Nothobranchius furzeri: one gene and its partners. The protein of the gene in region 1 binds, or shares a complex with, the protein of each later gene. Links are inferred from orthologs where the notes say so. Each region holds a gene or a part of one and is shown on either strand. Other genes may lie near its edges. The genes, in order: sf3b3, sf3a3, mfap1, smu1a, phf5a, ik and ddx46.

The links.
Region 2: sf3b3 (region 1) and sf3a3 share a complex: the UniProt entries of both Homo sapiens proteins name them as parts of the 17S U2 SnRNP complex. The link is inferred for Nothobranchius furzeri from reciprocal best matches to the Homo sapiens genes SF3B3 and SF3A3.
Region 3: sf3b3 (region 1) and mfap1 share a complex: the UniProt entries of both Homo sapiens proteins name them as parts of the spliceosome B complex. The link is inferred for Nothobranchius furzeri from reciprocal best matches to the Homo sapiens genes SF3B3 and MFAP1.
Region 4: sf3b3 (region 1) and smu1a share a complex: the UniProt entries of both Homo sapiens proteins name them as parts of the spliceosome B complex. The link is inferred for Nothobranchius furzeri from reciprocal best matches to the Homo sapiens genes SF3B3 and SMU1.
Region 5: the proteins of sf3b3 (region 1) and phf5a are in contact, whole or in part, in a crystal structure (PDB 7B91), measured with the Homo sapiens proteins. The link is inferred for Nothobranchius furzeri from reciprocal best matches to the Homo sapiens genes SF3B3 and PHF5A. Residues at the interface, in NP_036558.3 of Homo sapiens: Gly85, Arg86, Gln104, Glu105, Thr106, Phe107, Gly108, Lys109, Ser110, Leu140, Ile154, Ser155, Ser156, Pro157, Glu159, Ser1162; in NP_116147.1 of Homo sapiens: Gln14, Ala15, Gly16, Val17, Arg44, Asp47, Glu79, Asp81, Arg82, Asp83.
Region 6: sf3b3 (region 1) and ik share a complex: the UniProt entries of both Homo sapiens proteins name them as parts of the spliceosome B complex. The link is inferred for Nothobranchius furzeri from reciprocal best matches to the Homo sapiens genes SF3B3 and IK.
Region 7: sf3b3 (region 1) and ddx46 share a complex: the UniProt entries of both Homo sapiens proteins name them as parts of the 17S U2 SnRNP complex. The link is inferred for Nothobranchius furzeri from reciprocal best matches to the Homo sapiens genes SF3B3 and DDX46.

What each region holds. Positions count from the first base shown.
Region 1 is NC_091744.1:81,791,440-81,795,585, forward strand, and holds the start of sf3b3 (splicing factor 3B subunit 3), read right to left. Parts: upstream 2,801-4,146; 5' UTR 2,687-2,800; intron 1,922-2,686; 5' UTR 1,876-1,921; coding exon 1,806-1,875; intron 1,599-1,805; coding exon 1,443-1,598; intron 1-1,442. UniProt on the Homo sapiens protein: Component of the 17S U2 SnRNP complex of the spliceosome, a large ribonucleoprotein complex that removes introns from transcribed pre-mRNAs.
Region 2 is NC_091751.1:25,497,109-25,501,063, forward strand, and holds the start of sf3a3 (splicing factor 3A subunit 3), read left to right. Parts: upstream 1-1,155; 5' UTR 1,156-1,281; coding exon 1,282-1,377; intron 1,378-1,458; coding exon 1,459-1,506; intron 1,507-3,487; coding exon 3,488-3,540; intron 3,541-3,955. UniProt on the Homo sapiens protein: Component of the 17S U2 SnRNP complex of the spliceosome, a large ribonucleoprotein complex that removes introns from transcribed pre-mRNAs.
Region 3 is NC_091749.1:30,004,243-30,008,276, forward strand, and holds the start of mfap1 (microfibrillar-associated protein 1), read left to right. Parts: upstream 1-1,234; 5' UTR 1,235-1,349; coding exon 1,350-1,431; intron 1,432-2,052; coding exon 2,053-2,269; intron 2,270-2,348; coding exon 2,349-2,499; intron 2,500-2,591; coding exon 2,592-2,779; intron 2,780-2,859; coding exon 2,860-3,129; intron 3,130-3,218; coding exon 3,219-3,378; intron 3,379-3,675; coding exon 3,676-3,765; intron 3,766-4,034. Other genes in the region: hddc3 (guanosine-3',5'-bis(diphosphate) 3'-pyrophosphohydrolase MESH1), read left to right, coding at 341-495. UniProt on the Homo sapiens protein: Involved in pre-mRNA splicing as a component of the spliceosome.
Region 4 is NC_091741.1:70,830,058-70,834,211, forward strand, and holds the start of smu1a (WD40 repeat-containing protein SMU1), read right to left. Parts: upstream 2,801-4,154; 5' UTR 2,713-2,800; coding exon 2,687-2,712; intron 1,974-2,686; coding exon 1,763-1,973; intron 1,386-1,762; coding exon 1,233-1,385; intron 108-1,232; coding exon 1-107. UniProt on the Homo sapiens protein: Involved in pre-mRNA splicing as a component of the spliceosome. Regulates alternative splicing of the HSPG2 pre-mRNA. Required for normal accumulation of IK.
Region 5 is NC_091756.1:28,019,799-28,023,872, reverse strand, and holds phf5a (PHD finger-like domain-containing protein 5A), read right to left. Parts: upstream 2,801-4,074; 5' UTR 2,699-2,800; coding exon 2,647-2,698; intron 2,358-2,646; coding exon 2,334-2,357; intron 688-2,333; coding exon 521-687; intron 451-520; coding exon 361-450; 3' UTR 286-360; downstream 1-285. Other genes in the region: l3mbtl2 (lethal(3)malignant brain tumor-like protein 2), read right to left, coding at 3,739-3,971, 4,048-4,074.
Region 6 is NC_091750.1:27,147,303-27,151,452, forward strand, and holds the start of ik (protein Red), read right to left. Parts: upstream 2,801-4,150; 5' UTR 2,677-2,800; coding exon 2,667-2,676; intron 1-2,666. UniProt on the Homo sapiens protein: Involved in pre-mRNA splicing as a component of the spliceosome. Auxiliary spliceosomal protein that regulates selection of alternative splice sites in a small set of target pre-mRNA species. Required for normal mitotic cell cycle progression.
Region 7 is NC_091750.1:60,380,814-60,384,313, reverse strand, and holds part of ddx46 (probable ATP-dependent RNA helicase DDX46), read right to left. Parts: intron 2,677-3,500; coding exon 2,539-2,676; intron 2,377-2,538; coding exon 2,227-2,376; intron 2,156-2,226; coding exon 1,928-2,155; intron 1-1,927. UniProt on the Homo sapiens protein: Component of the 17S U2 SnRNP complex of the spliceosome, a large ribonucleoprotein complex that removes introns from transcribed pre-mRNAs.

The DNA of each region.
Region 1 (4,146 bases):
GCAGCAAGGAGGAGCAGGCAGGACAAGGTGAAGTTACAGCATAAGTTACTGAGTTTAAAATTAGAAAGGTAGCAGTGGATGTAATGCTTTTTGGTTTACATGTTTCAACAGCATTAAGATAAATGAGTGTTGACGATCTTGACAGGGTTTCCTCCAGTGCTTACTAGGCCAGATTTTCCTCCCCCCACCAGGCTAAGCATCACTTATTCATGTATTTTTTCATGTCTGACTTTAACCGCATCTAATATTACGGTGTGAGCGCAACAGCGACAACTTAAGATCGATGTGTGAGCAGCCTGAGAGGTCGGGTGTTTTCATCTGAACCCTTAAAACCTCCAGCAGGCTACGCTGCACTATTGACGTGTTAGCGTGCGGCGCTAACAACTTAGCGACGTGACATGTCTCGGAGAAAGCGTAAAAACACGTTGGACGCTTCTTCTGAAGCGGGAAAATAACACCTCTTCTTAAGCAGAGCACGACGTCGCCTCGGCTCGTTCACGACCGAGCCGGACTGAGCTCGATAACATTGACCCAGCACAGCCACTGGGTCGTTGGAGCTGCCCCGTGACTGCCTGATGGAAAACCAGCGGGTTTCATCAGACTCGTAAAGTTTCTTGTTTTTGCTGGGGACCCCCTGTATTTTACCGCTCCCTCCTGCAGTCTTCCCCTATTAACATTTAAAATGATTCTGTAAATTCCGTGTATCAATAGAAAAAATCTCTGCCTCTGCCAGCTGCAGTAAATGTAGTCTCCAAATAATAAACAAGAGGTGCATTCATCTGTGTATCTCCTTTGATCCGCATTAGTGATATTCTCAGCAGCAGAACAGTGAAGCAAAGAAACAGATTCCTGAGTTTGTTAGTAATTTTATTTATTAGGTGCATCTGACCTGTTCTATATTTCTCTGAAATGAGATCAAATTAGTGCTTCTATGGGTTGTCTCCACTCTGCACTAGAAAATTTCACTTTATTTAGAGACGTGTCATAATTTCTCGCCAAGCCCCCCCCCCCCCTGGAAAAATTCCTAGGGGAAACACTGTGCATACTTATTTTTTGCACAGGCATTTGTTTACTGTGAAGTAAAGCTGAAGTGATGAAGTTTTGAAAACTAATTTTGAATAAAACTTGAGGAATAACTGGCAATTGCTTGCTTATTTTAAGAGGTCTTTCATATTTTATAACATGCTATTTGATATAATGGTTTACAAACACAAAAGGGCCATTTATTAGAGTACTCGATTAATCGATAAAAGATTTGATAGAGTACTCGATTACAAAAATATTCAATAGCTGCAGCCCTAATTGTAATATTATTTTAGTTACTGTTATTTTAAACTGTACTTCATGTTATAAATATGATATACAGTCATAATGTCTTGATGTTTGTAAAATATTTATAAATACATGACACACATTTTTATTGTTTCCAGTCTGATGTGTACCTTTAGTTCCTCCGGTGAGTCGGAACGCCATCAAGGATCTGATGATGCCGAACACCTCCATTGTGAGGAGTGTGTGCACCTTTCCCGTGTTAGCATCCGGCCGCAATAACTCCAGGATCTTTCCTCTGGAAACAGCAATCTCCTGCAGCTTGGTTCCTACACGCAAACATTTAATTAACATGATTCGAGCTTTATAGGGTTAAAATTGTTTGAATATAGAAAAGTAAAACGTTTGGTCTGCACAGGCTGTGTCACACAGCGTTGGTCCTACACTGAAATAAAACATAACTGTTTTATTGAAGCCCGCACTTGGATAATCAAACAAAAGATACAAAGTTAAAAAAAAATCCGGAGGAAGCTCACCTGAGAAGTTTCCATGGATGGCGTGAGTGATGCCAGTGGCACGCTGCAGGGTGATGTTGTAGAGAAACATGGTTCCCTTTCAGGGTTGTTCCGGAGCAGCTCAGCCCGGCTCACAACTGCAAACAGGTGGTTAAATGCGAAAGCTCAAACTTCTACAGTCAACTGATTCACATACTAGATGACTCAGGCCAACAGCTTCTTTTTCAACAAATACACTCTAAATAATGAACTGCCTATGGGAATTTAGTTAAATGCAGAAGCTGAAGTGATTTCCACTCATGTAGTATATCAAACCAACTTAAACTAGTTCTTTCAACTATTTATAAAACCTTCCTAAAGGGAACGCATAAAAGGGCCAGATAACTGTTGGCACCACCTTTACCAGATGTAGTTTGACCTTTTCTATTCAGACAGAAGACATTTCAATAATTATTTTCACAATCCAACGTGCGTTTTAGTCCAGATCAGACCCGTACGAGTTAAACTGATTACAGCTGGAGCTGGTACCCGGACTTCTGTGGACCCCAATCCATCCAAGACGCTCTTTAGCTTTTCCTCCCAGCCGCTGAATGAGCAGACTTTAGCAATTTACTGCACGACGTGAATGTTTACCAGTTTGCAACTCCTCCGGGCTCACCGAAACCTCTCAGGATGTAACTTATCCCCATAAACGGTTTCCGTAGCTGTATATAGGTTATTTTCGGATAAACTCGGCCTGCTCACGGTAAATCCACAAGGTTTTCATACGAAGCGCCACTTCTTGCCAGCAGCATCCGCTTTTGTTTTCCTGCTATCCTACTAAAAAGCCTTTCATAGTTCACAAACATATCGTTCCTATTCAGACTAATACTTGTTTAAATTTTGAAAAATAAAAAATTTACCGGGTTATTTAATTAGATGATTGTGATTTCTGGTGGATTGAAACTCATCGGCTCGAATATTTCTCTGTTGCTTCAGGACAGCAAGCCTACGTAGGGCTTCCGTTTGTGTGGGTCCTTCTTTAACCGTGAAGCGGGTTTCATAGGTGACCTTAGCAATGCCTGATAGAAATAAAGTGTAGTAGCGCATGCTGTCCAGCAGATGTCAACAAAACACTTGATATCGCTTTATAAGTTTAGACAATAAAATAAATCAACTGTTTTGCTACACACTCAAGCGATAATAAAATATAGCATAACGCCGTGAAGGAAAAGGCTCAAACAATATCTGTTTAAGTTATAACGTGATTTTTATATCTAAAAATACAATATATTTTTGTCATTCTTTTCACATGAATAAATACTTATCACAATTCTACATTTGATTAATCTTCAAGTTATTACAGTAATAATATCATATTTAGATAACATGAAGAAAACACATTTCATGTCGTTAGTAATTATTTTATGTACCGGTATTTATTTATTTACATTTATTTATCCAGGTGAACTGCTGAGAACCACTTCTCATTTAAAAACATGACATGGATTATGAGAAGCTGCATGCTGCTAAATAGCAGATTAGGAAAGATGGAGGTCAGGCGAACATTTTCTCATCCCATCAGTGGGAAGATGCATTTGTCACCAGAGAAAAGATGTTCAAACGTAGAGGCAACTTATTTGTGTTAGAAAACAAGTTGGGGTTGTGACCCCACTGGGGGTCACAAAACTCCTCAGTTAGGGACTTGAGATAATCTACAAAAGTCAGATAAAAATAAAGAATAATTATTAATAAAGTATTTGACTATGTCAACCCAAAATAGAATAACCATACTGGTAGACCTATTTTTGTTTTGGTGAGGGTAAAAACTTTGGTTTGGTTTGGTTGTTCAATGAATCACACCGACACATCTGGAAACCACTGCTCTGTTAGCTGGGAGGCCTGTTTGTTTTGTATATAGTTCATTATTATTTGTAGAATAATTAGTCTGATCTTTTTCAATATATTTTGACAGGGGAATTCAAGCACCCTGACATTTTAGAATATTACTGCATTTTTTTTTGGGGGGGGGGGGGGGTTGTCATAGATGTATGTATTGTGAAAGACGTGGGATTGTTTAATTGTGAAAAGGAAAAACCGGAAGTTGCAGAAACTATTCCTTCAGGGGTGGGGGGAAGATACCTCCTCCTTCTCCTCCTGCCTGCTGGTTCTGAGCAGCACTTCAGTGGTCCTCCTCCCGAGTTGGACGTCTCGTGCCTGGTTCCGTTGGGAGGCAGCAGCCTCCTGCAGCTGCTCGACTCTAAGCGCATTTTTCTGCAGCCTCTCCTCCTCCTCCTCTGTGATCTCAGCCTTTGTGCACCCAGAGCGCGTGTGCGCGTGCGAATCACGCGCTCACATTGAAATTCAGACAGCGTGGCTGCGC
Region 2 (3,955 bases), on another chromosome or scaffold:
CCCACGGGCTCGTTCCGACCCGGTCCGCTCCGCCTGTTTTGTTGGATAAATGAAGAGTTAGCATCAAGCATGTAGATGTCGGAAGATGCTGCAGCTAACCAGGAGCAGCCCTCTGGTAGCGGGTCTGCCACTGACCTCTGCCAGGTCTGCCCCAGTAGCACAAAGACAGAATGGATACCCCCCACCCCCCCACACCTCGTCTCCACAACGACAACGACCGCCCCCCCCCTTCCGCAGATAACGCCTCAGCGCCTCAAATCCATTACAGCAAGCGAGTGTTGTCACCGTGGAAAACTGGCTGCTCACCTTCCTGAACAGGCTGGACGCACCGCGGCGGAGAAAACGGTTCCCAAAGTCCCTGTAGTCCACAAAACCCAAACACTGGCTGCCCGGTGCTTTGACTTGCTGCTGCTGGAGAACGTACCGAAGCCAGAACGCCACTGTCAAGGCAGCGACTGTTACTGTGGAGTTTCCGGTGTTGACTGCCAAAATAAAAGCTCTGGCGGTAATTATAAAGATAAAAAGGAATATATATATATATATATATATATATATATATATATATATATATATATATATATATATATATATATATATATATATATATATATGACATGGGATCAGACCTCTGAGAATCATAAAAATGTTGGATATCATTTCTACTTTAGTTTTATCACATCCTGTCACATTACTATACACAGCTCTGACAGTGGAATGCATCGTAAATTGTTGTATTACATTTGAGAATGATTTATCATTTGCACCTAAGAAACAAGTTATAAGCGCCAACACTTCCGGTCTGTGGTAAGTGCGCTCCACCGCGTGTGCGCTGGGATAGTGTGTGTGTCCTGATTTTGCAGGCTTTGATGAGATGTGATTAGAAATAGCTCACAATAAAATAACCTCAAACAGCTCACGTGAACGAAAATTTCTATTTTGATCCATAAAACCGTCCGCAGTCGAATTATTCACAAACTCTCACGTCTGGATCGGTCTGGATGGACAGCAAATAATAATTTTAAAACTTTCATAAAATTCTAATAATATAAAAATAAAATATATGCTAATTTGTCCACTTGTAGGAATCCCGTACTGTCACCGTTATGGACGTTTGTGTGACCACAGCGGAACTAATAATTGGGAAATGTTTTCCTAGCCGTACTGAAGCGGACAGTAACTCCTGAACAGACGCCTTTGGTCAACGTACCATACTGCGCTGTGCTAACGCTTCAGCAGCAACCCTGAACAGTCTTCATTAAACTCTTGAGCATTTTGTAAACGATGGAGTCGATTTTGGAACAACAGCGTCGCTACCACGAAGAGAAAGAGAGGCTGATGGACGCAAAAACTAAAGAAATGTTGCACAAAAAGACCACGGTAAGCAGCGCAGCTTTTAGCATTAGCATGTTGCTAACACCAACGCAATGTTCACGTATTTGTTTTCGACTCTTGTTTCAGCTGCGGGATCAAATTAATTGTGATCATCGAATAAGAGCCATGTTGGATGTAAGTATGAAATGCTGCTCTTCCACCAGTGAGCTAAATGTTGTTTGGTGGTGTAGTTTTTTCCGTCGTGTTAAGTAATAGAGTCAATAACAATCATTGTGCTTAAGATCTGAATTTTATGAATCATTGCAATCGATGTTGTTCTGATTTGTTAAATGTAATATAGAAGTTATATCAGAAAATAAAGCTTATTTGTTGTTGGGTAAAGTTGCTTTTATTTTTATTGAGTTACCTGTAATGCTTGGTTCCTGCCTTGGTCGTCATTCACTTTTAGTGTAACTTTGGTGAATTTTCACCATCCATCCATCCATCGTCTGAACCCGCTTGGCCACGTAGGGTCGCGGGGGGGGGGGGACTGGTGCCCATCTCCAGCGGTCAATGGGCAATCAGGCGGGGTACACCCTGGACAGAGTGCCAGCCCATCGCAGGGGACTTTCACTGAATTTTCACTAATAGTATCCAAACGTTTAGAGAAGTAAATCAAAACCTCAGGTTGATCACTGCTGCTCTTTTAATCTGAAGTTCTCCTCATTAAAATGCAGTGAAACCAGAGGGCTTTACTGACACATCCAGACTTCATACACAAAACCCAACAGGTGGTACAGAGGGAGGATTGATCCTGCCAACGCTTACATTAAATTAAGAAAGGGCAAAAAAAAAAAGTAATTCAATAAATGAGGAAATACAATTGAAGATAACACACTTGGAGTTAAATGAATACAATTATTAATTTCCACATCTATTTTTTTAATACATTTCTTCATTTATATTCCTCACACTTCCTGTGGTATATGGTGATGAGGTGAATTAAAGTTAAAGTCCCACTAGTTGTCACACTGATGTGTGACATTGTTCTCTGCATTTGACCCACCCCCGGCAGTCCTCCAAAGGTTGTTGGAGACACGGCAGCACTCGGGAGCTATTTGGTGGTTTAACCCCCGATCCAACCCTTTAAAGCTTAGTGCCAAGCAAGGAGGCATTGGTTCCTGTTTTTCGAATCTTAGGTGTGACTCGACCGTGGATTTGAATCCCGATATCCCAGTCCCAGGGCAGACACTCATACTAATAGCCCACCTAATAATTGCATCATGTATTTCTATATGTACTTTCAATTTTATAACCAGTTATTGTCAATTTTGGTGGGATCAGACCTCCATAGGTTGATTTTTAAAATGTTTTAAATAATTTTAAGAATCACATTTAAACATGATCCTGAATGAAAGCGTATGTCGTGGTTGAATAAAATACTTGATCAGCTCAGTGCAGTGTGCTGGTTGCTTCTAAAGGTAATGTGCTTTATTTAACAATCTGATGTTTATTTAGATCTTCTCAGATCTAACAGAACTATGATGACATCTGAATCAGTCTGATATTTCTACCTGGAGATTCTAAGAAGCAGAATTTGTCAACTGATCTCACACACAGCTTAACCCAAAGTCTTAGATCCGGAGGGCATTATGCACATAGGGGTTGGGGTGCTCGGAGCGCCCCAACCCCTATGTGCGTAATGCCCTCCTCCCCTTTTCATCTAATGATCGTGGTTAAAAGGAAATCCTCCAGAATGCTGCAGAATCTGTGTCTGCTTTTTTTTTCCTGAGCGGTAAGTCTTGTGTGAGTGCATGCTTGCATGCACGCGCGAGTGTGCCTGCGCTAGTTAACAACTCGTTTTTAGATTGAGAAACTCCGACAGCACACGCGGAGGGGTTGAGGGGGGTGCGGTCTACCACTGCCTCAGTGCCGCTCTCCCGGTTCGCCAGGTGACGCCTCTTTCAGAAGCGTTTTTCTAACAGGAAATGTGGATGAAATGCGTCTCCAACCAGGCATTGACCCTCACTTTAAATAGTATTCTAGAGCTAGGTGTTGTCAAGCTATGTGTTACCATGGTAATTTAGAGCCAAGTCTATTACCATGATGATCTAACAGTGAGTCAGTGTTGGCTAGTTTAATGTCATCTGTTGTCATGTTCTGTGTCTCCTCACAGAGGTATATGGAAGTGAGTGCAAATCTCAGGGACTCTTATGAAGACAAAGATGGGTACGTTTTAATTTTTTTAAATATATTCAATGTACTTTTTTTTTTTGCTTGTTAGAGTTAAGCTGTTGTCTCTTTCTGTTACCCATTGTTTACTCAGGTTTGTTTTCCTGACAGTAAAAAAAATCTAAATATATAATTACATTTTTATTCTGGCCTATCAGAAGCGTTGGTATCCCATTCCACGGCTTTTGTTGCTACTTCTTTTATTAAATATATTAAATATTAAAGTCCAATGGCTCTATTTATAAAACTTTGTTTGGATCCTTTACTAAAAAAATTTACTTGCAGAAATAAAAAATTGGACCCATAAAACACTGCGTACATATAGCTGTACACAATTCCTGCTTTATCTAACTCTACCTAGAAATGTGTTCAGGTGATTTTGGATCACATCCCGCCTCCCGCACACCCACTG
Region 3 (4,034 bases), on another chromosome or scaffold:
AAACAACCTACGCTACCCGGCCCAGGCTGACCCGATACAGATGGGAATGGCCCATTATACTCGCTCCCACCTAGCAGGAGGCTCTGATCCATTCAGACCAGAATCGCTAGCCACAAGAACAGTTTCTTCCCCTCCACGGTCAGACTCATGAATGCCAATCGTAGACCTGCCCACTGCAGTTGCTTTGTTTCAGTCACCTGACCCTGTGTTGTGTTATCACGTAAACTGATCTGCTCTGATCACTACCTACACTGACTTGTTTATTGTAGCTGCTTCTCTAATTATTGCCTCCCTAAATAATGGTGTTTATCATGTTGTCTACCTTTTGTTTGCCTGGCAGGCTGGAACACTGAGCGGGTCCAGGAGTACTTTGTTTGGGCCTCTGAGGTGGTGAAAGGCCTGAAAGGAACTAACTCTGCCCTGGAGGGGAAGCTGGAGGACTTGTTCAGAGAGGCATTCAACTCTGATGGCAAAGCCACACGTCTATACTGTTAAAATGACAACTCAAATGCACCTTTATGAGTGAGCTTCAGAAAAAAAAGAAAGAAGTGTGAATGTACTGTCTGCTGCACTGTCATTTGTATTATTGTCAAATTTTTAAAGTCATGCAAACCAGAACAGAAAATTAAAAGAATAAAAACATATGACATTTCTTTTATAAGTCTGGTTCATTGTCATCAAACCTTTCAAATAATTTTCACACAGACACAAAGTTTTTTTTTTAGATAAGTGAAGAGTTGCTTATTAGAAAGTCAGTCAGATTAGCCTTTTGTTTTTAAATAAACCATGATGCCAAAGTTACAAGCCAACCTCAGTCCATCCTATTACTCTGTTAAGGGTCAGGGCGTGCACTTATTTATTGTGCTAGTAAATTGAACTTGCCTGGAGCAGAAGAAATGTAGTTTGTTAAGCTGCCTGTCATTTTTGTAAAAAAAAAACGGAATGTTTGATGTTGGTTATATTTGTTAGGGTGAAATCGGGTTTCTGATCATAATGAAAAAAAGCTTGACTTGAAGGCCTATCATGCATGAAACATAAAAACCACCAAGGGGCGGTGATTTACAATTTACAATTTAATCGATTTTAATTAGCTTGATGGTCATTTAGAAAACACGTTTATAAAAATGCATAAATGTCAGTTTTGTAAAAACAATTTAATGTGAGACGCTTTCCTGTTCATTTGATTCTTGAGTTTTTGGTTTTTCTCTTCGGAACAAATGCACTTCCTGTCCGTTCGCGGAAGTTGTTCAACTTCCGGTTTTGAAACGAAGCAGCCAAGAGATTGTTGAGACTAAGCGCAACATCCTTTTATTTCACGTCCATAGTTTTGTGTTGTTGACCGGGCAGTCATGTCTAGTCACGAAAGCGTCAACATGAAGCTCCCACCGATCCAGTCCACGGCAGGAGCCGTGCCCATCCGGAATGAGAAAGGTGAATCGTGTTAGGGTTAGCTTCCATGCTAATGTAGCATCTGTTATGTAGCGTCAAAAAACGCGAGTTAAGTTTCTAAATAACTAATTCATTACTCAGCAAAACAAGCTGAAAAGCAATTTTGTGATGTTGGTTTTTTAAGAGAGTAAAATGTGTGTGTGTGGTGGGAGTAACAGTTTAAAATCTAGAAATGGAGGAACAACTGACAGTTTACATTTTTTTAAACAAGATTCAAGATCTTTGATGATCCAACACAAATGTTTATAAACAACTGGAAAAAATATATTTTAAATAGCTTTTCAACTTTTTTACGTGTTAGATAAGTCATCTGTTAAGTCCCTTAAAAGTATTCATGGGCTTTTGTAACGTCATTTATCTGTCTACCTAATAAGAGCTTGTCTGAGACATTAACTCGTTGTTTTAAGCTTACGTCTGAGTTTTGGGGTCATTTTATTACTCCCAAGGGCGAGGGGTATGCTGTATCTGTCTGATTTAATTTAAATAAATCTGCAACATATTGTTTTACGTTTTTTATGGTTGAGTGTTTTTTCCTGTTTAAATACTCTTGTACTAAGCTTGAGGAAGTGTATATAATCATGCCCTTTTCTGTACACAATGTAGGTGAGATCTCCATGGAGAAGGTGAAGGTGAAGAGGTATGTGTCAGGTAAACGTCCAGACTATGCCCCCATGGAGTCGTCAGATGAAGAGGAGGAGGAATTCAAGTTTGCTAAAAAGGGAGTGGAAATGGAGCTGGAGGTAGAGCAGCAGGAAGAAGATGTGAATGACCCACGTCTCAAACGTTTGCTCAATCGAACTTCTGAGGACGTGGAGGAGAGGTATCACTCAGTTTTTCTGATTAAACTCAAATTCTGTCAACATTTTGAGTCAAAATGTTTCCCGTTTGTTTGTGCTCAGGCTCGCAAGACACAGACAGATCGTAGAGCCTGAAGTTGTTGCTGAGAGCAGTGAGGACTCTGATGAAGGCACATGGCACCCTGAGCATCAGGAGAGCAGCGACGATGAAGAGGAGGAGGAGGAGGAAGAGGAGGAAGAAGTGGATGATGAGGTAGCAATTGTGCACCAAAAAAATAAAATCCTTTTAACTTTTTTGTTGCATTTTGAACAAATTATTAATTTGCTCATCGTGCTTGTGACCAGGAAATTGAGAGGAGGCGAGCAATGATGCGCCAGCGTGCAATGGAGAGGAAAAATGAAGAGATGGAAGTGATGGAGGTGGAGGAGGAGGGGAAGTCAGGAGAGGAGTCTGAGTCGGAGTCAGAATATGAGGAGTACACAGACAGTGAGGATGAAGCAGAGCCGAGACTTAAGCCTGTTTTTATTCGCAAGTGAGAACTAAACTAAAAATGTTTCAATAAAAATTCCAGATTCAGAACACTAGCTCAAATGTTTTTTTTTTGCACTGCAGAAAGGACAGAGTCACTGTGGCAGAGCGCGAAGCCGAGGAGCTGAAGCAGCGAGAGCTGGAGGCCGAGGCCAAGAGGCAGGCAGAGGATCGGCGGCGCTACACCCTCAAGATTGTTGAGGAGGAGGCTAAGAAGGAGTTTGAAGAGAACCGGCGCTCGCTGGCTGCACTGGAAGCTCTGGACACTGACGGGGAGAATGAAGAGGAGGAATATGAAGCCTGGAAGGTCCGAGAGCTGAAACGCATCAAGAGAGACCGAGAGGCCCGGGAAGCGTAAGTAAACTGCAGGATTCCAAAGGATTTATGGTGAAAGAGTGATGCAGTTCTCTTCAGGACGGTCATTTGTGGTGTTTTGTTGTCAGAATGGAGAGAGAGAAGGGTGAAATTGACAGATTCCACAATATGACGGAAGAGGAACGCAGGGCGGAGCTACGCAACAGCGGCAAAGTCGTCACCAACAAAGCCTCCAAAGGCAAATACAAGTTCTTGCAGAAATACTACCACAGAGGAGCCTTCTTCATGGTGAGTCCCAGCAGACACAAGAGTCCTTTTCACGGGATTGTCACCAGGATTCATAAAAAAGCAAATTTTTAAGACAACCAAGAGATTTTCCTAAAATCTTCATTTACAGCTGCAGTGTCTTTTCTTTGACAATTATTGTGTGATAAAAACGGCGTACCCTTTCTTATAACACCTTTATTATTTAGATGTCTGTAAATGACAGGAAATCCCACCAGATTCTGAAGGAGGTGATCGTTTGTGATGGGTCACCAACAGGTTATACGTGTAGGGATTTATTGTGTGGTTTTTGTGTGTTAGGATGAGGAGGAGGATGTTTACAAGAGAGACTTCAGCGCTCCTACACTGGAGGATCACTTCAACAAAACCATCCTACCCAAAGTCATGCAGGTGAGACCCTTTCGTCTTGGGGTGCAACGAAATGAAACTTTGGGCTGATGTCGATATTGTTATGGCTGATAATCGATATTTGTCGATGCGACATATACAGGCTGACATTTATGCTTCTGAAGTCAGCAGATTTTATGGAGACTTAAAGTTATGTAAGCAGAAATTTTGGACGTCTTTCTTTTTATATATATTCAGTTAATATCGGTCCAGTTGTCCTTATCAGACCGATACCGATATGTAAAACATAGATATTGATGCCGATATGTCAT
Region 4 (4,154 bases), on another chromosome or scaffold:
CCCAGCAGAGCCATGAGACGGGAGGGGGGGACCACGCTGACCTCTCCTGCCAGCGCATGAGCGATGGCTGCACGACGCTTCTCCTTACTGCTGCCATCTGGGTATGCCTGGAAAGAGTTTCACCAGCATAATTAAACCATATATATTTAATTATAAAATTGTTATACATTAATTTAAAGCTGTGGTCTGTATCGTGACATCAAAGAGAGGAAGAAGAGATTTTGAAATCTGCGCCGCTATAGCTCCCATCCCTTCTCCCCCTCTCCTTCTGGAAAGAGCTGAAAGCCCCGCCTCACACTGCTAACCCAAATGGCACGTTTAGTGCTAACAGACAAGTAACTTTTTTAATTTCCCTGCTCAAACACACCTGATTCTAACACCTGTTGAATGGTCTAATTAGAGTTCTGCATCAAACATGTATCATTTAAGCAGGGAAACATTTAAAACCAACGGGAATCTGGTGATGGTAGCACACCTGTGCTAATGATACAGCAGGCTAAATCAACAGTCTAAATTAGTGCAAGGTTGAATGCTATGCTGATCACTCAGCTCTAAAACACAAAAGCTAAATTCCTTTTCCTTCCCCATCCTTACTCTTCCACCGTTAGCTTGAAGTTTACAGACTAACATAAATTAAATGCAGGCCGGTGAGCTGAGTGAGTGACCCCGTAGTGCATGCTCAGACCTGGGGTTCACTCGCGTTGATTGACAGCTCCCTCTCGTGGATATGCAGCTCTAATGGTCAACACCATCTATGTCGATGGTCAACCCTCTAGGCTCGCATAAATGATTCGCTGAGCTGTAGAGGCCAGGAGAGGGACCCAGAAGAAATCTAAATTATGAAAGATTACCGGTACCTACTTTATTTCATAGAACAGTGTTGGATAGTCAAATTTAAGCATTTTAAATTACTGTAATACATCTAAACTATGCACCCCAGCTTTAATGCACTTTAATGCATGAGCATGAATAAAAATTCAAAGTTAGATATTTTTGAGTGGTTTCACACCTCCAAGCTCTGGTTTCCTATTGTTAAAGAGCAATCTAACTATTAAAATGATCCCTTTAAAAAAATTTCAAAAGAAAATAATTGTGCTATGAGAATCTGTTGGAACCAGAGTGAGTGAGGTTCTCAGTGAGTTCCAAGAAAAACTAAAGTGACTCCCAAGACCCACTGATGCCAATGTGACATCATGGAAATAAACCAAGAATACATCAGGCTCTGAACTCACCTCTCTAGGATCAAAGTAAGAGCGAGCCAGCAGGTTCTCCAGGTGGATGTATCTCTCTGGCTGAGTCTGTTTCAGCATAATCATGGGGTCCGTCTGTCTTAGGAGAGAACGGGCTGCACCAAGCTCTCTCAGCTCAATAAGCTCTAAGACAACCTGGTCAGGGCACAACAAAGACATTTTAATAAACAGCTACATGATAAAATACTGTGTAATAAGAATGGACAGCAGAAGAAAAAACTACTGAGGTAAAATTATTAATTAAAATTAAAATAATTTAATCATGCGGTGACTGTCCAGATTAAGTCTCCCTAGCATTATTTTAAAATCTGCACTGTATGTTTTTCTAACCTTTATTAAGATTACAGTGAACATGAGCAAAAAGAACAACGTCCTTTCTGTCAGCCAGCTTTTCACAAACCTGTTTACTTTGATTTCTTCATAAAACAAAAAAATTATTATAGGTTTTTAACTTTATGAGTGCCGAGGGAATAGCACTAAGCAATATGCTGAACAATACATCCAAACCTCACCTGTTCATAAAGATCTACCAAGGTTTTATCTGGCAGCTTGAGGGACTGGATGGCTTGTAGAACAGTGTCCCAGTGGCCACTGTTGATGTCTGCCACAAAGCTCTCTATACTGTCCACAGTGTTCAGAGATACTGTGGTCTCCTCTTGCAGTGTGGCCAGAGTTCTGTGCAGGTTGTTTTCCTTTAAGTACTGCATAATAAGACGCACCACGCTGGAATAAAACAAAACATCACACAGAAACCATGCTGATGATACAGAATTCAATGAGCAAACAGTGTGACACAAGTATCCCCGACAGACGGGGCAACAATTCAGTTAAAAAGTGTGATGGACCAAAAAACATAACTTAGAAATAAGTGATCTATGGATAAAATCAACTTAAAGAAATGGGATTTATACGAAATATGGACAGGCCTCTAGCAGTTTTGACCAAACTATAAACTCAGCTGTTTATTAAAGACATTTAGATCGTTACACGTCTTCTTTCAACAACTTCTACAAACTAAGAGTACGTGTTACAGCAAGAAGCAGCATTTGTATTTTCGACCCTAAATTACACTTGTGCAGCCCAAGTTTACACAGCAGAATGACTGTGGAACGTTAGCTGAAGCTAATTCGTCTTCCAAACGAACTTACTCAGGTCAGTAGAAACATGACCACAGACAGAACAAACTATTTTAATTATAAAAATTACACTGAACAATTTTTACTAGAAAACTATCCAACTTGGCCATTCTAGAACACAAAATGCACCTTTAGAAGACTTACGTTAGCATGCTAGCTTAAGGTGCTAACGTTAGTTTGCTGCAGCTCAGAACGAAAGGCCTTAACGCAAATACCGTCATCTAGTGTGGTGGTATTAGCTAGATTTTTATTTAAAAAAAAAACAAATAAGATTAACAGGACACGTAAAGAAGTACTTACTCCGCAGATTCCACTTCTATAGACATGATTATTTACGTTGGACAGCAGCAACAACACAGTCCTGGAGCACAAGCGAGAAACACGCAGAAGGAAAACGGAAGTTGCGTGTAAAACGACAGATTTCAAAATAAAATTATTTCAACCGTTCATTGCCAACTTTATTGATATACAACGAAACTATTTAACAAAAATACAAAGAAATCTGCTAATGAAATTAAATTAATTTATTTTAGACAATTCGTTGTTTTTTCCAATTCTCTGACTATTTCTTTTGGCAATAGAGAGAATATGCATTTAGATCAGTTGTTTGAAATTATAAAATGATGGGGATTTTGTACTTCATTCCATTTTATATTAATAATATTTAGCTAATATTGTAAATAAATTGATTATATTAGTGGACAGAAATTAGCTGTACCAAAGTAATATTTCAGATTTAGAAAATGTGATATTTTTGCCATTTTTTTTCTAAAATAAAATTGTGTAAATCTGAAAAATAAAATACAAACTCCTTCTGAAGATCAGTACTTTTGTTTATATCTTTACAAAACATTAACTTTGGGATTTCAAATATAAATGAGGACTGTAATCTGCAGTTTGATTATAGCCCACTGATAAAGTCAAACATTCAGTGTATCTTTTTTTCATTCTATAATTTTTTTTTCACTTGTACACATTCAGAGATTTTGTTTGGACATATTATTTTCACTGGGGTTTTCTCCATTTATTTATTTTAGAGCATAAAGCCCTTCATGTTGTAGATAATGTAGATAGTAGATGTTGGAATTACCATCTCTAGAATCTTTGGGGAAGCCCAAATTACTTTATTTGTGTGCAAAATTAAATCAATGAAGATGCATCAGGAATAAAATATCTTCCACTACTTTAAAGCATGTGCACATACATAAAAATCCTTCTCTCAATGTGGTCAACAGGGGCTGCTCTCTGCACAGTTATGACACAGAGGCCCCTTGACTCTTTTTACGCTGCCAGTGAAGGTCTTTCAAGGTTATGATGATGCACCACTTCATTCTGCAGGCATTGATTGTTATGGGCAATCATGACATAATCCAACTGTGAGAACCAGCCAAATTGGAAATTAATTTGGCTGCAAGAAAACGAGCAGATCCTACTTGGTTTTGTTTGCCTTTGCAGATGGAGAACTATATTTGGATGAGATGAGTACCAGAGAGCGCAGAGAGAGGCGGAGCAACGTTTTTTAGAATCCCATAACACCACAATCCCTCCGAATATATTAGCATAAAAGCAGAGATTTTTTTCAGTATTCTGACGTGAAAAAAAAACAGCAGATTTTTTTCAGTGAGGGAGATGCCACCAAAAAAAAGACGTCTAAATTCAAAAGGCTGAAATTTGATAATTTTGTCCTAAATAAAAAAAAAAGCAAAAGAAGACTTAATTTCAATCAGAAACCAATTATTTGTATAGGTTAATTACTTATTAATAATAA
Region 5 (4,074 bases), on another chromosome or scaffold:
TATATAAACTTTAATTGAAGTGAAAATTTCCTAGCCATATTCCTGAAAAAGGGCGTGTCCTTTGACACGTTATAATAAATAGAAATGGTAAGAGAGAAGTGGGACTAGTAGACTGGGTTCACTCAGTTCTACAGCTTGCTGCTAAACGTTTACATGATCTAATAAGGTTTAATAAAACTAACAGGCTTAGGCTAATTTGAAAATGTTTAATGAAAAGATTTGAGTATTCCATCTGATTCATGTTCACCAATTATCTTTTCCAGTCACAAAACATGAAGACAGAAATAGAAAAAACATTTTATTAAGAAAAAGTTTTTGGAAAAAAAAAAAACGACTATGAACTCGGTGTTTCTCCTGTCTTCACCTCTTCTTGAAGCCGTACTTCTTCCTTTCATAGAACAGATCTGTCTTGGAGCTGCCCAGGTTTACGATCTTGGGACAGCCATCTCGCTGCAGAGAGGAACAAAATATTTAGAGACGTTCCTGCAGACACAGCTGGGCGTACGAGAGGAGGACTCACATCTTTCTCCTGGATGGTGCACTCTTTGCAGTAGTAAGCGTCAGACACGCCGGGACCTCCGCAGATCACACAGCGCCCCTGATAGGAGCCGTAGTTACACTCATCACAAATACGCACCAGCGTGCACGGTCGCACGTAAGAGTCGCAGATCACACACTTCCCATCACCTGGAAGAGGAAGAGAAACTAAGCTGGTGATGGGAACAATAATTATTTCTACATTTACTAATAAAGTGAAAGTGCTTCTGATCTTATTAGGTAACTGTAACAATCACAAGACTGACCCGCCGTCTCTTCTGTGAGTGTTTGGAACGTTAGGAAGAGTTTCAGTCACGTGTTTTTAAGTGTGAGTGGTTGTGAAACGAAGTGGGAGAGGAGCCAAAGCTGCACTGGAGGTGTTGGATAAGTGAAACCGGAGATCTGTTTAACTGCGACTTTTCCTATTCGACCTAATGGCTTCATTGACTTTTCTCAAAGCAAAATGTGGAAGTGACATCTTTCTCAGATTTAAATCTGAGCCTTGATCTGTGTGTACAGGTGCAGACTCTGCTCAGCTCGTGTCCTTCACCTAAACCAACTTCTGTCTCAGGGTCCCATCTGGACTCCAATGCACCAGAATGCCACGTTTGGAGTTTCTTTGATAATCCTGCAACATTTGCAATAACTTTAAAATTTTCCTGTCGGGTGCTTTTCCAGATTTTCTGGTTAAGTTGGCAAGTGTCCAGACAGGATGTCCACAGGTTTGAAAATTTCTGTTAACACATTCTTCTGTTGTCTCTTTTGTCCCAGCTGGGACACGCTGAACTCAGTGGATGGAGAAACTAGTTTTAGTGAAGTTCAGTGTTGAGAGTTTAACTTCTCTCAGACTAGTTTCAGTCTGGTGAACATCTTGGTTTGGGTTGTGACCTCGTTATTATTCCTCATGTCCAGCATGTACTGTCTAAAGGTGATTCATGTTTGCACGGTCTGTGTAGAAAATATGTTTTCTTCACTTACAGCCATACATCTGGACCCTGATTACTGTAAATGACCACCAGATTTTACCTGCATATGAGTCTGGGTCACGGGGGTTGCAGCCCCAGCAGAGATACCCAACCTTGCCTCTTTCTGAAGACCTCCTCCAGCAGGATCCCCAGGTGTGCCTTGCCCAAAGTGGAGGTACCTCCAATGTGTCGCAGGTCGACCTGGAGCCTCCTGCTGGCAGGACATGCCTGAAACGCTTCCCCTAGGTGGAGTCCAGGGGACATCCATACCAAATTCCCAACCCACCTCAGCTGGCTCCTCATCTTTAAAGACATCAGTCAGTCAAAAGCTCTGCCACGTGTAGCATATGATATATGCTGCCATCCCAATTTTGCATCATCACAGGATTCTGCCTCACTTTCAAGACCAATCCCAGTCTTTGTCCTCGATATCCAAAATCCTAACGATGACCTGCATATCTCCACCTCCACCCTAAGGCCTCGTCTTCCTTTTCCTTGTTGACACCTCAGATCATTTTCAAATTCTCTTATCTAAATTTATGTTTGATTATTTTAAAAATGCTGCTTAAATTTACATTGCATTGACTTTAAAATTCATTACGGATTTTACATTGGCATGGTTTTTTATAAGGTGGGTGTTTTTAAAGTGCCTATAAATAAAATCTAGAGGTTTAACAGCGTTTATGATGGTTGGTTCTTTTTAGCCGCCTTTACTCCAAGGAAATCAGCTAGATCTTTGGGTTAGAATTAGCCAAAAGCACAACGTTCTAGAGGAAAACCTATAACAGAAATAGACTTTACAGTAAACGTGTTAAAAGTGGAGACACTTACACTTCTCGCAAAGTCTCCCGATAGCTGCGGGAGGAAAACAGAACAGTCGTTCAATTAAACGTTTCAATTTTCAGGATAAACGATAAATTTGTACTTCTCTATGTTCAATACTCAGTTAAACGGGTTTAAAAACCATAAAATTGTTAGTGTCAACAGAGATGAAAACCGTAAAGACACGTCCAGCTCCGCTACTCATTTCAGTATTTATGCTAACAGTTAGCTTAGCAGCTAACACATGGCGCAAATCAAACGTGTTTCTGATATATCTGTGTAGTTTCAAAGGTACCGAACGACATAAAGTAAAGAAACATACCGACACCCGCTTGTTTTCGACAGAAGATCAAATCTGGGTGATGTTTAGCCATTTTCAGCTAACCAACGACGGCCGAACGTAATTCAGTTTTAACCTTTGACCGGCGTGCAAGTGTCGAGTTGAGTCGCTACCACCACCTAGTGCCTTCACCTTGTAACTACACTCTTAAAAAACGGGTTTCAAATAAACAAGGACATTGGGTGAAAATGCTGTCATTAGCCCAGAATTTAAACAAATTTCCAAGTTTTATGTTCACTAAAATTCTTTATCCCTCTGCTCCAGAGGTGATGCCTCATCCTGATACGAGCTGCAATGTCTCTGAGTTACCATAGAACAGCAGCAAAGTTAATAAAATTACAAAAATCCCTGGGTTGCTGACACTGTCTCAAAAGGTTCAACAACAAATAATGAAGAATAGGGAACATTTTTATCCAGGTCCATTTTATTATTTTCTTTTCAGTTGTTGTTTAACCACTAATCAAAAGCCAAGATGGATTTTCAGTATATATTTATTACTTTTGTCAGTTTCAAATCATTACAATGACCACTGTGAGTTCTTCTTTAACAGAATTATACCAACAAACATTAAAACAGTTAACTTGGCTAATATGACCAGCCAGTGAATTAGTCTAACTAGTGAAACAGGTCCACATTGCCATACCGGCTCCTGGTCTATGCAGCCAGGATCAGCCGGTTTTCATCTGTTCACCTACTGGTCTGACTCTTACTCCCGACTGGATATTTGCTCACAAAAACAAATCTGATAACGAAACAAAAACAATGACTTGATCACTAACAAAAGCTTTTGAGGAACTGGGTGTAGCTAGGGTGACCTTGGGGGAGGCGAGACAGTTCTGAACTCTCTTTTTGGGTCGGAGGGTCTGAGAGTTTATAAACAGCAGAGATTCATGAGACATAGCTCCAGCCGTCTTTTGATTCACATCTGTTACCATCTCAGAACGTCATCTACAGCAGCCGCTTATATCTCCATCGGTTCAGCTCCTCCTGCAGTGTCTTGTTGTGTTGTTTTCCCACATCTCTTCCATGCTCCTCCCATTTTCTGGCCTCCTTTTTTCTGGGGTTTGTCTTTTTTTAACTCCGCTCAGCTTGTCCTTTATGCTCGCCTCCATTTTCTGCTGTTTCTCTTTTCTCTGCGGTCTGATGGATCATGTCTGCCAGTGGGCTCTGCTCTGGCACCTGATGTCCCGACTGGATCATCTGCTCGGCCTTCTCTTGTTTCACTTCACACTGCGAGACTTTTTGAGGCTGGTCTGGGGGGTTGATAAGGGTCTCCATCTCCTCCACCTTCACCTGCACTCTAACGACTACAGAGACACAACCCAGTCACACAACAATGATCAAAAATGACCTTTAAACCAAATTTGAAGAGCCTTCACTTACTCTCTCTCTCCTCTGGTTCAGCCTTCA
Region 6 (4,150 bases), on another chromosome or scaffold:
CATCTTCCTGCATCTCCTCTAAACTCTCCAGAAAATCTGTTGCCTGGATTCTTACCTTTTCACCTCATCAGTTACTTTTGAGCAGATCAAAGGGATCTCCTGACTGAAAAGCGCAGAGCGCGTTTTCGATGCTGCGTGAGGTGACATCACCACAGCACAGGTGATGAGCTCCGCAGTAGCGCGCTTCAGGCACAAATAAGACAGAAAATAGAGAATATGTGCGGACATGAACGATCGTGTGCTAATTATAGTTTTTTGGTTGCGCCACGTTGAGAATGGACCGTGCGCTGGAAGCAGCAGCCTGGAGCGCTGCGCGACAATGCGGAACCGGTTCGCAGCAGCGCAAGTCTGCCGGCTCTCCATCGCGCTGATCTGCGGCTCTCCCTCGCGCTGATCTGCCGGTACCGGCTCTCCCTCACGCTGATCTGCGGCTCTCCCTCGCGCTGATCTGCCGGCTCTCCCTCGCGCTGATCTGACTTGCTCTGGTCTGCGCGCAACGGCGGGCAGGAAGGGGGGGGGGCGCTTTTGGAAGAGTTGTGCGACACAACGAATCGATGACGCAATTCGTTGCCAACGCTTTTAGTAATCGATTTTCATCGAATTTATCGATTCGTTGTTGCAGCCCTACCATATGCAACGACAAAGTAGGAAGCGTGTGTCCCCCTCTTGGTTTTCACAGCAAAAGGAAGGTAACGCACAGATAGTTCGTGGTGGTTTTCAAGTTAAGATTTTTCAGCCTGGGCTCCTCATCTCCGGGAGGCGGTGAAAGCTGCACCAACGCTCCCAGTCACACGGGCTTACTCCAAGGTGCGTGGTATAAACTCAGTTTTATTTTCTCTGGTTGCTTGTAGTCGTGAACATCTTCCAAGCCATGCAAGTACATTTTTGGGGGTAAAACATTTTTTTTAGGGATGCACCGATGGATCGGCATTTGATCGTAATCGGCCGATAGCGCCCCTATCGGATTTGATCGGAGTTTTCAAAATAGATCAAAGCAGACCGATCAGGTAGGGTTGTCACGGTAACCAGTGTAGCGGTAAACCCCGGTAAAAAAAAAAAAAAGTTGACAATAATAACCGTCTTGTTTTTTAAAAAACTATATTATCTCGGTGGATTACCGTGGCTGCGGTGTAGGCGCGGTGACCCTTACCAGCCACCGTATCATCTGCTGAAGTTGCCGGCGGCACATGCGCACTTTGTTGTTTATAACTAAAACTTTCTTGAAGCTAAAGCTGAAATAATGACCAAAGGAGGAGACGGCAGCGCTCAGGACATTTATTATCCCTCAAAGAAGACAAAGTGGGAAGTACGGGCATTTTTTGGGATATTTGAAGAATGCCGAGGGACAGCTGATAGAAGACGGCTATCCTGTTTGCAGCACGTGCAGAAAAAGTGTCTGTGAAAGGCAGCTACACTTCAAATCTCATGACACATCTGCGTGACCATCACCCACAACTCTACAGTCAACGCAAGGCAAGCTAACGTTAGCGTTTTAGCTAAAATGCGTGATCCGAGGATTTGGGTTGAGGGAGAATGCAACGAGTCGCTATATAAAGCAGCCGCAGCGCCGCTACCTGCATATAAACCGTGTCGCGGACACCCCCATGTTGAAATGACGCTATGCATTACGGGGCTCCCAGGGGCAGATAAGAGTTGGTCTCTCTCTGAGAATAATTATGAATTTAACAACGATTACTGCCTGATGACATTTTCCCACATCTGCAAAGCTCACTGGAAGGACACAAACCGAGGACAATACTTTCCTGATATAGGGTTTATTACTCAAGTAAGGGTAAAAAAGTATCTGATTAGAAGGCTACTTGAGTATGGAGTATCATCTGATCTAATATTTTTAAAATGATGACATCAAACAGACATAAAATAAGAAGTTATGGGCAAATATTGGTATTTTAAAGACTAAAGGGAAAAAATGTAAACAAATAAACAACATAATTACAAAATAACACATTTTAGGCTAAATTTAGACACAAATTGAGGACAATATTTCCTGACATACAGGGTTTATTTAATTGTGTGAAAATGTAGCACGTTTAAAAAAATTACTGCGATAATACCGAAAACCGTGGTAATTTTGGTCACAATAACCGTGAGGTTAAATTTTTACACCGTGACAACCCTAATACAGACCATTTTAGATTAGGTTACATTTCCTTTATTCCCAGATTATATAGTTTGTAGCACTCATTATAATGTTGTAGAAAATTTCTGGCCAATCCACGTGATCGGTATCGGTGATCGGCAGCAAAAAACCTGATCGGTGCATCCCTAATTTTTTTTAATCGTTTTCAAATGTTCACTACTAACCACTACTAGCAACAAAACCTCACCATGCAAACAAATGCGCTACTTCCGGTATCTCACCGGATGTTGCTTACATCACCGTTTCTCCTTAAGGGTGGATAAACTAGCCTTTAGCCGTGGCACTGTCCCCGCGCCATATCTCGTAGCCACGCTGAGCTCCGGTGCTGATTAAACCAAAGTGCCCCTCGGTAGACCGGAAGCTGGATCGCTAATATAAGCCAACAGAGCCTCGTATCGCCTAAATAAAACATTACACGTTGCATTAATATAATTCGCTATAAGCTATGCTTTTGTATTAATCTACTACGTCTATGTGTTTTCTTAATAATGGTTGTAAGACTCACGTTCGGGCATCTTGGCGGACAGCAGTCGGTGCGGAGATCAAGAAGCTACAGCCTTTGTTGGTCTACCTCTCTGCTGAGTACGACGCTTATATCTATGGCGCTGGCTCTTTTTTTCTGAGGAGTTTCTGAGCGCTGACGTCACTTCCTGTATTCACGTCAGACCATAGATACGTACATAAACACTAGCGCTGTTTAAACGTTTTTATATAAACTCTTCTGATTTTTCCCGCCGGTGCAAATCGACCACAGTATTCCGTAGTATTCATAACGCTGCAAAGCAGCAAGAGGTAGGAAACTGCGCCAGAATGACTAAAAACAGCGCACATTTCTGCTGATTCACACAGACGATGGAAGGAAGCAAAACAGGGTTTTCTTTAGTGATGCCACACAGTGGTGTAGTCTACGTGATACGCTGCCTTTGATCTGCTCAGAAGTAACTGATGAGGTGAAAAGGTAAGAATCCAGGCAGCAGATTTTCTGGAGAGTTTAGAGGAGATGCAGGAAGATGAGAGACAGACAGGACAGGAAAATAGTTAAATAAAAACAAGAAAACAAAACAAAGTGTTGAAAAGTAAAATGTAGGCAGATTTATCTCCACTACACGTTTTTACCAGTAAAAAACAATAAGTTATACACATGTAATAATTATGCATCTGATACAGCTCAGATCACCTTCAAGACTCAGTCACACACCCAGGGCCGTTTCAAGACATTTTGGGGGCCAAGGCAAAATGCCCCCCCCATAACTGGGCTCCCCAGAAGCCTCTGTGTAATTCATACCCTCTCCAGTAGTGTTAGTTATACAGTGTTTATAAAAGCTCCTCAGACATTACTGACATGTTCTAATATTATCAGATGAAAAACTAAATTATCAGACATGCTGTCTCATCTGCTTCTTTTATAAACTTGCTAAAAGTAACACAACTATTTGAAAGCCACTATTTGTGGATTCTCTGAAAGTTTCCATGGAGTGTGTGACAACTTATTTTTTCATTGATCCTATCGTCTAATCTCACAGCTGAAATGAGCACCCTTAATAATCTGTGCACAGGAAGCTTACCGATGGTGTAGTAAAACAAAATGTATAGTAATTTATTATTAATAAAACATTGTTGCAGCACTAAAGCAGAAAAATTAGATTTTGCAATAAATATGCAAAATATTTACATATGAATTGTTTTAGAGCCCTTTTATTGGCAGAATCTGATATTAATTTAGTTCTTACAAAAAAATGGGTCCCAACGTAATATTTGTGGCGTTGCCATAGTGTGACGTCATAGGCACAGATCCCCTGTCCTCTTGTTTGGAAATGGAAATATGGTCACCCTATATTAAACAAACTGTCCACCCGGGCTTTTACGCTGAGACGCTTCGCTGCCTATGACTCTGAACGTCAGTTGAGAGTCAGTCTCATGCAGACTGACCAATGAAGAGAGGACCTCAAGTTAAGACCCTCTCCTCATTGGTCAGTCCACACGAGGTGG
Region 7 (3,500 bases), on another chromosome or scaffold:
ACACATGACAAAAATTGGTGACTGTGGTCCTTCGCAACATGAGTCGTGCTACCGTAATAGATCAAGAGGGTTTATATGAGGATAGAGTTGGGGGAGGGGAAAAAAGGGCAGTTCAGAGTTACCCCCGACAGAGAGGATAGCTTTGCTGTGCAAAAAACAACACCTCAGACAGATATGCACACAGACTTCAGATGATACACACCATTAAGTGCCCACTAGGAGGGGAGGTGGGGTTGGACCGTCCTCACTTCAGAGAGTGCAGCCGCAAGAGCAGCGCTCATCACCTCCGTTTGGACAGGGGAGGGAGATACTGGGTTAGAGAGCTCATCGACTCCTAAGCCCTTTTCAGATTGACATTCTGAAAATATGTGTGGACAACTCAGTCCGGTTTTTAACCAGAACTGTGTTTTCAAACACACCACTTTTGTACCTGAACTTGTCCTTCCGGCTGCTTTCACACAGCAGGGAAAAGTTCCAGATGTCTGAGGGGGAGGGGGTGGGAAAGCTGTACCCAGATATTGCGTAAACATGGCGCGGCGGGCGTACATGCGCCATTTACCCAAACAAAGCCATTCGGTCAAACATGGCGGACGAAGAGATATAGTTCCTCTCACTGATCGGACTTATGTTAAGCATAATTCTGCACACAAGAATAAGAGACCTGGCTGATGAAGCTCAATGGTTAATAAATGAATCACGGAAGCGGTGTGAAGCGCTCAGTCGCGCGTCTAGGAGACGGTACCGTAGGAGGCGAGCTGCCTTTGTCGCCGCATGCTACAGGAGCGAGCTATCTAGGTGCACACAGCTTCCCCCGGTCCCCTCCTCCCTGTCCGGAACTCGACCTCACCAGTCTGAAGCAGCCACCCTGTTCATGACAAGTCCGGTCCTGTTACTAGGGGCTTCGTCCGGTTTAATTACGGAACACGTTATCCGGATGTTTGTATTCAGACACAAAGGTCTTACGGACAGAGTGCCGAACATTTCCGTTTTTCATGGCCTGTCTGAAGGGGGCTCTAGATACGGTTCCACGGCCTTCACCGGTCACAGCCCCGCCCAGGCTGGGATAGGGAGAAAGCATTTCCATAGCAACAGCAGCATTCCACATTTCTTCTGAGGGGAGTTTTCACTTCAGCCTCACAGGCTCCAAGAGCACCAGATCCAGATAAGAATTGTTTTGGGGACAGACCGAGATAATTTCCTCTCTGCCTTAGTGTTCTATTGTTCTTCAACCCCTCTAGATCCAGTAATGGCGTTATCAAAATATTCCAATCCGTGCTGATCTGTCAACTCTCCCCTTGATCGAATCAACCTTCTGTGCCAGAGCCTGAATCTCAGCCAGAGTTCCAAGCTTCCGACTCATCTCGACAATTATCCGAGTCTGTGAGTTTACAGCACGATGCATTCCATCCCTGAGCTCCGGGATTGAGCCAATATTCCTCGAAAGCTCGTTAATTTTCCGGTATGCCAGGTAACCGCTCAGGCCAAACAGCAGAAATCCCAACACCAAGACGACGAATATCCAGACATCTTCAGAATCCTCTACGGACAGTTGAGACAGGCGGACCAAGTTCCACAGTTTCCAGGAGTCCATGATATATCCAGCTGGCTCCGTCCCAGAGGGACATCCGGGAGCCCCTTCTCCCGTTCTCATCATTGAAAAAATGTTGTCAATCGCGTTGAGAGAACAACTAACCAGATCCATGTTTGATAATTTCCAGAAAAATGCAGAGACGTGCAGTGCACAGGCAGACAGGGAAAAAAGCCTTGGGAAGAGCAGGGAGGAGGGAGAGGAGAAAAAGGCGTCTGTACTCTCCAAGAGCCGAAAGAAGACGATAAAAAAAGCCAAATGCCAACGCAGAAAGCTCTTGATCAACAGAAACACATTTAACTAAATACAAATTGTAATTATCACGGAGCTTTGACACACCTGAGCCTCAGCTCCCAGGTTCTTCTGAGCGTTGATCCTGAGGGCAAGCCTTTTAGCCATCTCCAGTTTCTGGATGTTTCCAGCAGAAGCCAGGGCGACTCCAGGAAGCCCCCCAGAAGCGGCTGCTGTGGCAGCAACAGCTCCGGCTGCTCCAGCAGCCGCTCCTGGAGCAGAAAGATCCTTCACTCTCTTCTTGGAATTAAACATGCTTTCAATCTGCTCCTCGATCTGAGGAAAGAAAACAGATGTTTGAAGACTGAGTCAGAGATCTAGATCCTCTAATAAGAGGAGCTACTCACATCCAAGGCTCCATCCTCGTCATCGGAGTCCTGCAGCCCGAGAGCAGCTTTCTGCAGCTTCTTCCTCTCGTTAGCCAAAGCGTGCTCCGTCTCATCGAACTTGAAGCCTTTTCCCGAGAAGCCACTGCTGCTCTTAATGGCCTTACCCTCCTGTTTGGGTAGAGGGGCAGAGAAAAACAGGAAGACATGACATAACATTTTATGCTTACCCTTTTCAAAACATTAAGGTAACATTAAGTGATAGACACTTTTGATTTCAAATTTCAGAAATGCTGTTAACAGGCAAAGTTTGGTTTAGCTGTTCTATCTTACGGCTTTCTGCCGATCTTTGAAGGACGCCCAAAGCTGTTCCAATTCAGGCGGGACAGGAGAGCTGGACAGCTCCAGGGCCTTGATAATGTCACCAGCGTAGCGAGCCTGATCCTCCGTGATGAAGGTGTAAGCATAGCCCTAAAAAAAGAGGAATAAATAATACAGAATAACCAGGTGTCCATGCATCCACCCTCCTCCTCTCATCCGTGGTCGTGTCACAGAGCAGCAGCCCAGACTTCTCTCTCCCAAGCCCCCTGGACCAGCTCCTCCAGGGGGAGTCCCAAGGTGTTCCCAGGCTAGCTGAGAGACACAGTTCCTCCAGCATGTTCTGGGTCTTCCTTTGGGTCTCCTCACCGTTGGAGGTGCCCAGAAAACCTCACAGGGAGGTGTCCAGGACACCATCAACTGGCTCATCTTGATGTGGAGGAGCATTCTTTTGGTCACTAGCCAAAGCTCATGACCATAGGTGAGGGTTAGAACATAGAGTGACCGGTAAATTGAGAGCTTCACCTTCTGTCCCAGCTCTCTCTTCACCATGACAGAACTGTACAATGCCTGCACCACTGCAGACGCAGCACCAGTTCGCCTTTCGATCTCATGCTCCATCTTTCCCTTGCTCATGAGCAAGACCCAGAGATACTTAAACTCCTCCACCTGGGGCAGGACCTCGTCCCTGACCCGGAGAAGGCATTCTACCCTTTTCCGACTCAAGACCACGGTCTTGGATTTAGAGGAGCCGATTCTCATCCCAGCTGCTTCACACTCGGCTGTGAACCGCTCTAGTGAAGGCTGGAGATCATATTCTGATGAAGCCAACAGGACCACATCATCTGCAAAATGCAGAGACTCGATCCATAGAACACCAAAACGGATTCCCTCAACACCTTGGCTGCGCCTAGAAATCTTGGTGGCAGCCTCGGCAGAGTCCAACTCACACAATAACCAGGGTGTCAAACCTAAAT